Linked DNA regions of Callithrix jacchus. The protein of the gene in region 1 interacts with the protein of each later gene in a pairwise test. Links are inferred from orthologs where the notes say so. Each region holds a gene or a part of one and is shown on either strand. Other genes may lie near its edges.

Evidence for each region.
Region 2: the proteins of IPO13 (region 1) and PAX6 interact in a two-hybrid assay, tested with the Homo sapiens proteins (2 studies listed by BioGRID and IntAct). The link is inferred for Callithrix jacchus from reciprocal best matches to the Homo sapiens genes IPO13 and PAX6.

Annotation. Positions count from the first base shown.
Region 1 is NC_133508.1:80,614,038-80,618,420, reverse strand, and holds the start of IPO13 (importin-13), read right to left. Parts: upstream 2,851-4,383; 5' UTR 2,059-2,850; coding exon of another isoform or gene 1,975-2,058; intron 1,787-1,974; exon of another isoform or gene 430-1,786; 5' UTR 409-429; coding exon 1-408. UniProt on the Homo sapiens protein: Functions in nuclear protein import as nuclear transport receptor. Serves as receptor for nuclear localization signals (NLS) in cargo substrates.
Region 2 is NC_133511.1:97,170,686-97,174,493, forward strand, and holds part of PAX6 (paired box protein Pax-6), read right to left. Parts: intron 1,556-3,808; coding exon 1,397-1,555; intron 910-1,396; coding exon 827-909; intron 604-826; coding exon 453-603; intron 348-452; coding exon 232-347; intron 1-231. UniProt on the Homo sapiens protein: Transcription factor with important functions in the development of the eye, nose, central nervous system and pancreas. Required for the differentiation of pancreatic islet alpha cells.

The DNA.
Region 1 (4,383 bases):
TTCATACTGGTCAGTTGGGATGTCGCTCCAGTAGCGAGAGATCTTGATGTGAAGAGCACTGGCCCCAAAGTACTGGATCTCTGGCACCTTGTCGGGCTGCAGTAGCTGCCAGCTGAAGTGCCAGGCCTGTGGGGAGACCTGGGCCTGCATCAGCCACTTCTGAGCCAGGTTCTTGTTTTCAATGTTGGGGTCATAGTAGAGCTGGTGCAGCGCCTGCAGGACAGCACAGGACTGAACAGGTGCTGGCCACTCTGGATCCTGCCAGAGCCCAGAACAGAGGCGTGACTTGGTCCTGCAAGACTGCTCCCTCTCCCTGACTGGGGAGCTGAGCAGGGAGAGCTCAGGGCTCTTGCATTGTTTCCTGGGCCTGGGTCCTGCTGATATCTTGAGAGCCTGAAACTTGCCCATGCTCTACCATATCCTCTTCTCCTTACAGCAAAACATTATGGGTTCAGAGAGAATCTCCACAGGAAAGCAAAAAAAAGAGGAGGCTGATCCCCTCAAAGGGGAAGCACTTGAGGCCAAGGCCTAGGTGGAAAGAACAGCTTCATAGGGATGAAGCTAGACCTGAGAAGGGCATGGAACAGCTTGAGGGGACTTGACCTTCCCAGGCACAGCTGCTCCCATCAACTCCAACAGCTCCTTTCAGCTCCCCCAGGATCATCCCTAGGTCACTCCAGATGCTGGCATCAAAGCCAGTGTGAAATCAGAGCAGGACTAAGACTTTTGCCAAGTAGCCCTGGGGCAGAGACATGCTGGAGTGGGGTGGGGTGGGGGCGGTGAGAACACTCCTCAGAGGGCACATGTGAAGGTCCAATCAACTGATCCAGAGAAGCCTTGGCTATAGCTACAGCCCTGGCAAACACCTGGCCTAATGCTTTCCACTAGCACAGTCCCCAGGGCCTCAATTCCAATGGGACTTCATGAAGTAAGAAAACAGATTTATCTCCCGGTAGCACCTGGAATAGCGCGTCACCATGCCAACACTGCCCTGCTCCAAGAGGTGGGAGAGTGTGGCCAGGACCCTGACCCCTAAGCAGGCTCCATCCAAGTAGGCTTAGCTCTATTTGTACCCCTGCCGGTCAGTTATGGCCACTGTCCCTTGTTTGGCCCCTCAGGGATGCCAAAGCAGGCAGAAGAGATGCATCCTCATTGTCTGTTATGGCAAACAGGAGTCAAGAATAATAAGTGAGCATCTGCAATCATGCCCTGCTTTCAAGTAAGGGAGCCCCATCTTCCCATTCATCCCAGGGTGCATGCAATCCTGCATTCCAGGTTATAGGGAGCAGATACAGAAAAGAACCAAAAAGGTAGTTCAGAAAGATGGGCTGGGCAGTGGGGGAGCTTGGGAGGGCCATGGCAGGGAGCTGTGTGGGCAGGTGAGTAGGGAAGAGCCCTGTAAGGCTGCCAGCCTTACAGGGCCAGGACCCTTGGACTCAGCACAAAACAAAAGGAGACAGCCCCACACCTGCCTGCTCAGGACTGGTCTGGCTTCCATCCAATAAAGGAAGGACCCTTCTCCAAAGAGTAGAAACAACCCAGATTGTTTTAGTTCCAGATTATTTCCTGAGCCCTTGGCTCAATAAAACCAGGTCCAGGATGGTTTGGCATCAGTATAATTCCAGAAGACTGAGCTGCAGGTCTCCTGGGTTCCCAGTTTCCTACTGCACTGCTCATGCAGTTCCCATGGAGCTGGAAAATAGCCAGTCTGGCTGGAAGGCTAAGTCATAAGCTCCCTGAAGGGACCATCCCAAGACCCTGGAGTATCTGTCCACAGGGGACCTGCCTGTAAGGAAAGACAAAAATAGCCCATTAGGGGACTGCAATACTGCCTGCCCAGAAAGACAGCAAATGCCAGGTGCTCTGGGGGCACCATACCAGCGGGCAGCCAGCCCAGGCCTGAGCGCTGGCATTAGTGACAGTCCCCAGAACTTCTGCTCTGTCACTGGAGTGCCCACCCCAGAGCCCTCATACCTTCTCCACGTTCTCCACAGTGAAGTCCAAGGCTGATGCTGCTCCAGCCCCTGCAGCCCCCGACTGCTCCTCCCGCCGCTCCATCTTTGCTCCCTCCCTGGCAGGGAGGTGGGCCCTGATCTGCCTCCTGCCCCAGCCCCTTGGCTGCTGGCCCCCTGCTAGACCCCGGCTTGGATGTCCAGGGAGTGGTGGGGTGAGGGGGGCCCCAGGGCGGGCATGGCTGCCGAGGCCTCCCCACCTCGTCTGGGGGTGAGGGGCTTGCCAGAGACCAAAAGGGGTGCTCTTGAGAGACCCACTGAGGGGGACTCCGAGGAGGGGGCCGTCAGTGAGGAGCTCCCAGGCGGGGATCCTTGTGGTAGGTCACAGCTCTGTCCCCACAATCTGTGTGGAGGGAGTCAGAGGGGAGGGAAGCCTGCGGGGGAAACCGAGCCCCTGGATCTTGAGGGGTCACAGGGTCGATGGCCTGAACCCACAACACCACCGCCTGGGTGAGCTCTCGGGTGCTATGAAAAGGTCACGGGGCTGGAGGGTCACCGGGGAGAGAGCCCTTCGTGGTTACGGAGGCGTCCAACGAAGCGCGGAGGTACAGCTTCGCGAGTCTGGGGCGAAGAGTCCGTGGAGTTGAGGGGCTGTGGCAGGTCTTTCCGTTCGGCCTGGCCCGCGCTGTGCTCACCGCCCGGCGCCAGCCCAGCTACCGCCGCTGCCTCCGCCCCAGTGACTGACAGACAAGCCAGTCCGGCCGGGACGGGGCAGGGACCTCGTCAAGGCGCGGGCTGCCCGAGCGCCTGTCCCCGGCACCGCCAACTCAGTCCCCCACTCCCGCCTGTCCTGGCTCGGCACGGCCCGGCACAGCCCGGCACGACCCAGCGGAACTGCGCGGAAACTCATTCCGGGTCCGTGGCCCTGTCCTCGCGCCAGCCCGCGCGCCCCCGAGCAGGCGGTGGAGCGGCGCGCCGCCCTAGGCCCCCGCCGAGTCTAGGCCCCGCCGCTGTGCACCCTGGGAAATGTAGTCCGTGTTGCGCCTAACCGGAAGGCGGAGCCCTGCGGAGGAGGCTCGGAGCACGTGGGTTGGGGACTTGCGGATCACTGCCTGTCCTCGGCCTACCGCGACCAGCAGGCACTCAGGGTCAGACCGGTGCGGGGCGCTGCGGCCTACTTCCCTAGTAGGAGGACGTGAGGAGGAACCCGAGGACGGAGGGGGGAGTCCGGGCTAGAGGGTGGGGACTAGGGAGGTTGCCTGGTCACTCTGGCGCTCCGCTGCGGGGCATCCTCCGGCCCAGCAAAGGTGCAGTCTGGGAAGAAGGCGTCAGCATCACCCAAAGGAGAGGAGAGGGGACTTGGCACGCCTTAGGAAGAAAAAAGGGAAAGCTCTCAGGACCACCCAATAAGCAACCGGGAAACCACGTACCATGGACAGTGCTCGGGGAATTTCGTAAGGTTTTGGAAGTAACTTTATGTGTAACTAGAATAAGAGTAGCTTACATTTAAGTGCCAGGAGCAGGACTTTGCATACTTCAGGTTCAGTTTTCTTAACAGCTCTTAAGTGGGTATTTTTATTCATTTTCAGATGAGATGAGGAAGTCGAGCTTGGGGAAAGTTAGGCTTATCTTGCCCCGGCACACAGACAGGGTGGCAGACCCTGCCATAGATTTGGTCTGCCACAGGCCCCGGCAGCTCCTGCCCCTCACCCCTCCAGTTGTCTTTTTATTAACTCCTGCCTACTCTAGCAGGGAAGACGAAAAAAATTAAAAGTGCAAAGAGCTCTGTAGTTGTGTTCGAATGGAGGAAGCTGGCATTGGCAGTAGCTGCTGAGGCCTGAGAAGGACCACGAAGGCTTCCCTGAGAAAAGAAACTTCAAAAAACTGAGCTTGAAGAATAGAGAGCCTGGGGAGGAGAGGGGCTCATTTAGCTGGTAAGCAAAATCCAGTGGGACTCTTAAGTCATTCAGCAAATCTTCATCAAGAAAGAATAGCAAGTAATTCATGTTTAGTTTAAGGGGATATATGTGTGGTGGGGAAGGGGAAGGGTATGAGTAACAGAGATGAGGTTGGAAAGACAAGTTGGTAGCAATAGATTCTTGTAGGAGTTTGGACATTATTCTAAGTGCAATATGAAACCATGATGGGGTTTCAAGTGAGCAATGATGATTACATTTGCATTTTAGAAAAATATGTCTGCAACATGAAAGACAAATTGAAGGAAGAAACAGAGGCAGGAGACATTTGGAAGGAGGAAAAGGAAAGCCAAAATAAAGTAACTGATTCCAGGCCTGTGCCTAGGGTGTGAAATACCTTGAGCCTGGTGCTGGCTGGGGGTTTCACTGGTGGAGGTGGCGGTGCACAGGGGAGATGGTGTTGGGAGTGGGTTTAAGTGCACAAATTCTAGATTTAGTCCTGGGTTCAAAACTTG
Region 2 (3,808 bases), on another chromosome or scaffold:
AACTTGACAAAACTGGAAAGATCTTGATTATTATTATTTTTTAAGGCATGAATCAATGAGTCAATCACTTAAAAGAGATTGGATTGATGTCTCCAAAGACTGGTCAAGCCAATCACTGTAGTATGAAAACCTCCCAAGGCCGCACACGCAGCCAACGAGGTCCGAAGGCCCTGACCCCACTCCTCACTTCTCTGGGGCCGGGTTACGCATACCACCTCCAGCCACACTTACTTGCATAGGCAGGTTATTTGCCATGGTGAAGCTGGGCATGGGTGGCAGAGCGCTGTAGGTATTTGTGAGGGCTGTGTCTGTTCGGCCCAACATGGAGCCAGATGTGAAGGAGGAAACTGAGGACAGGAGAAACGACAGCAGTCAGGGTGAGAGTCGGAGCCCGGACACAGGTTTAACACACTGATTATATTGGTATTTGATATATTCGTATTTCGAATTACCCGGTGTGGTGGGTTGTGGGATTGGTTGGTAGACACTGGTGCTGAAACTACTGCTGATAGGGATATGACTAGGTGTGTTGCTGGCCTGTCTTCTCTGATTCCTCAGTTTTTCTTCTCTTCTCCATTTGGCCCTTCGATTAGAAAACCATACCTGGAAATCAGATAGGACAGGTTAGCACTGTGCCTATGTCAAGCCCAGCCCCACCTTGACACCTCCGCTGCTGCCCTCCTCACACCCATGGCAGCAGAGTATCTAGCAGACTGAATCTGTTATTATTCCTATAAATAAACAGTGCTCTGTACCAGCACCTCTGTCTCTAGGAAAGGCAAATGGTATGAATCACAAAGTGTGAAATTGCACTGTCCCTTGGTACCTGTATTCTCGCTTCAGGTAGATCTATTTTGGCCGCTAGTCTTTCTCGGGCAAACACATCTGGATAATGGGTTCTCTCAAACTCTGAAAAAGAAGTTGATTTTCCACATTGTGCCAGAACTACACAAAATATGTTGACCAAACTGGATCAAGCTGGTTCCCCCTCCCCACTCCCATCACCTCCAACCAATTCCCTTTAAAATGCTTCTAGTGTTGACTGTACCAAGTGAAATTTTCTTTGGAATGACATTCAATGACCTTTCTGTGGCCTGAAATAGCCAAATCATCATGTTTCTCTTATAAGTCAGATGCCTGGTCTTTGAATTACTGGTACATGAAAAGAACCACATACACACACACATACACACACACACACACACACACACACACACAGAGAGAGACACACACACACACACCCACAGAAGAGATGCCCAGAGGAAAAAAAAAAGACAGAAAAAAGAAACCTTTTCAGTCCTCTATGCAAAGGGCCCTGGCTAAATTTAGCTCTTTGTACTGAAGATGTGGCATTTACTTTGATTTACTGCTTCTCTACTTTCAAAAACTCCATCACCTTTCTCCAGGGCCTCAATTTGCTCTTGGGTAAAGGATGTTCTATTTCTTTGCAGCTTCCGCTTCAGCTGAAGTCGCATTTGAGCCTCATCTGAATCTTCTCCGTTGGAACTGATGGAGTTGGTGTTCTCTCCCCCTCCTTCCTGTTGCTGGCAGCCATCTGGAACAAAAAGAATAGGACGGTAAGAGAAATTTGGAATAACTTGGAGCCTCCAAAAGGGGCCTGATGTAGTCTTAAACTCCAAGAGCATTATATTCCGACAGCCTCACCAAAACATTCCCAAGGTAACTGTCAGCCTTCTTTAAATAAAAGACATTTGTGATGTTAATTACCTGACCACCATTTTCTTTGTTTTTATCAAGATGAGACTTTATAATACTCACATTAAGTAGCATTTCTTGAATGAAAAAATAAGCACTGAAGTTTCCAATTAAAATGATCTTTTGTAAGTAACCCTGAGTCCCCAAATGCCTCACTCCGTTCCCTACAGAATGTCTTTGCCTATGGCTGCTGGGAAAACGGAAGAGTGATATTCAGGATTTCAGTTGATCTATAATCAGTAATTCCCATCTAATCAATTAGATGTTGATAGGTTTGTAGAAAATGCTATTAAGAAACCAAACCAAGCTTGTAATCTTTTTAAAAAAATATTTATCTAGTTTTTATTTGAATTCTGCACAGTCAATTTCATTTTAAAGGTTGTGAATTTAGAAGTGCTCGCATTGTTCTGCAGTTTTATTCAACTATTGTATGAGTGCGCTTCGCCTTGACACCTATTACGAGCACAGCTGTAATTATATCATCACCAAGAACAGGCTATAATTGCTGAAAATGGAATTTTATATTTAGATAAAAGGACTGTCCATTCTTTGTAATGTATTGCACCAGAGAAAAGTAAGATTTCTTTTAAATTTTTAACGTGTAATTTAAAAAAAGAAATGGTAGAGAGTTCACTAACTAAATATTCTATGCTGCAGCTGAATCTTTGGCATATCATTTAAGTGGTACATTTTTAATTAGGGCATTTCCACCACTTTTAATGTAATTTCTATCATTATACCGGGGAAAGTTTTATTGTTTTCCCTTGCTGCCTGGAGGGCAAGATGTGCACTTGGGCTAGCTGCCTTGCACCTTGCCTGTAAGGCCACAGCCTGTGTGAAGGGAATCAAGATTGCCTGAACTCTGACTGGGCCTCCAGGGCCACTATGTGCTGGGTCGTGGGTCTGGGGTCCTGAGGCCCCCAAGTGATACCAACATGGACTATCCCCCATCCTCAAAACTTGGCAAGAGGTGGGGTGGAGGGGCCCCTAGGAGCGCCTTGGTGGGAATCGACTTGGCCAGGAATATTATTTATAACCAGGAGACAATAGGCTGAGCCTTCAAAGAGTTCAGGGAATTGTGACAGGATCTAGTGGGACCTTTTCAGGAACTTTGAAATGTTTTAAAACCCCAACTTTCTCCCCCATTTAAACAGGCAGATTCATCAGCACTGGCCACCATATGGGCCCTTGGAGATCTATTGAGATGACCACCAACACTTGAATAGCGAGGGGCTGCTTTTCAGCGCTGCACAATGCCCTGCGAGTAAGGGAAACTATTAAACTCCTGGGGCAGGAGCGTTGGCAAACTTTCGTGGGCAGAATTTTGAGGCTACAATGAGCTCGGACAACAAAAGGATTCTCTTGAGGCGTGCAGCGGGCCACATTGTGTTACAAGGAGCCCAGTCAACAGACTTTTCAGTGAAGTGTGTTAACCCCTCTGCTCTGCTATCATTAATCACTGTCCGAAGAGCAGGCGCCTCCGTGCTATTTAGGGCGCTTGGCTGGGGGCATGGAGGGTGGATGGGGGGCCAGGGCCCGGCGTGGGGGAAGGCAGGGAGGGTGGATGGGGACCAGGGTGGGGTTCCTACTTTGGAGAGATGGGAGACAGGATGGAAACCAATGGTGGGGGTGGAGGCAAGGGGGAAGGATTGGGGGCCTGGGTTGAGGGAAGGGGCGGAGGGCAAGGGAGGGAAAAAAGAGGGCTCAAAAAACAGAAGAGGCCAGAACGGTCTAAGAAAAAAGGACAGAAAAGAATGCTGAGAGGAAAAAGAGGCAGGAGGGCCGTACAAGAGTGGGAGAGAGAGGAAATGGAAGATGAGGGACAGAAAATATTAGTAACTGAGCCTCAGCTGGGCTCTGGGTCTTTGCACTCCATCAGAAAGGTGGGGGTCGGAGAGGTAGGGCTACTCAGTGGAGAGGACGCGCTCCACTCACGCGTGCGGGTACAGGCATCTGTGCTAATTTACTGCCCTAAGTTTCCGGGGGACTATTCAAAGCGTTTTTCAAGGGAAAAAAATGAAGCGACCACCCCCACTCTCACTTTATTTTCGGGTTTGGTGAAGAAGGAAGACTGGAAATAGCTCCTTTGGGC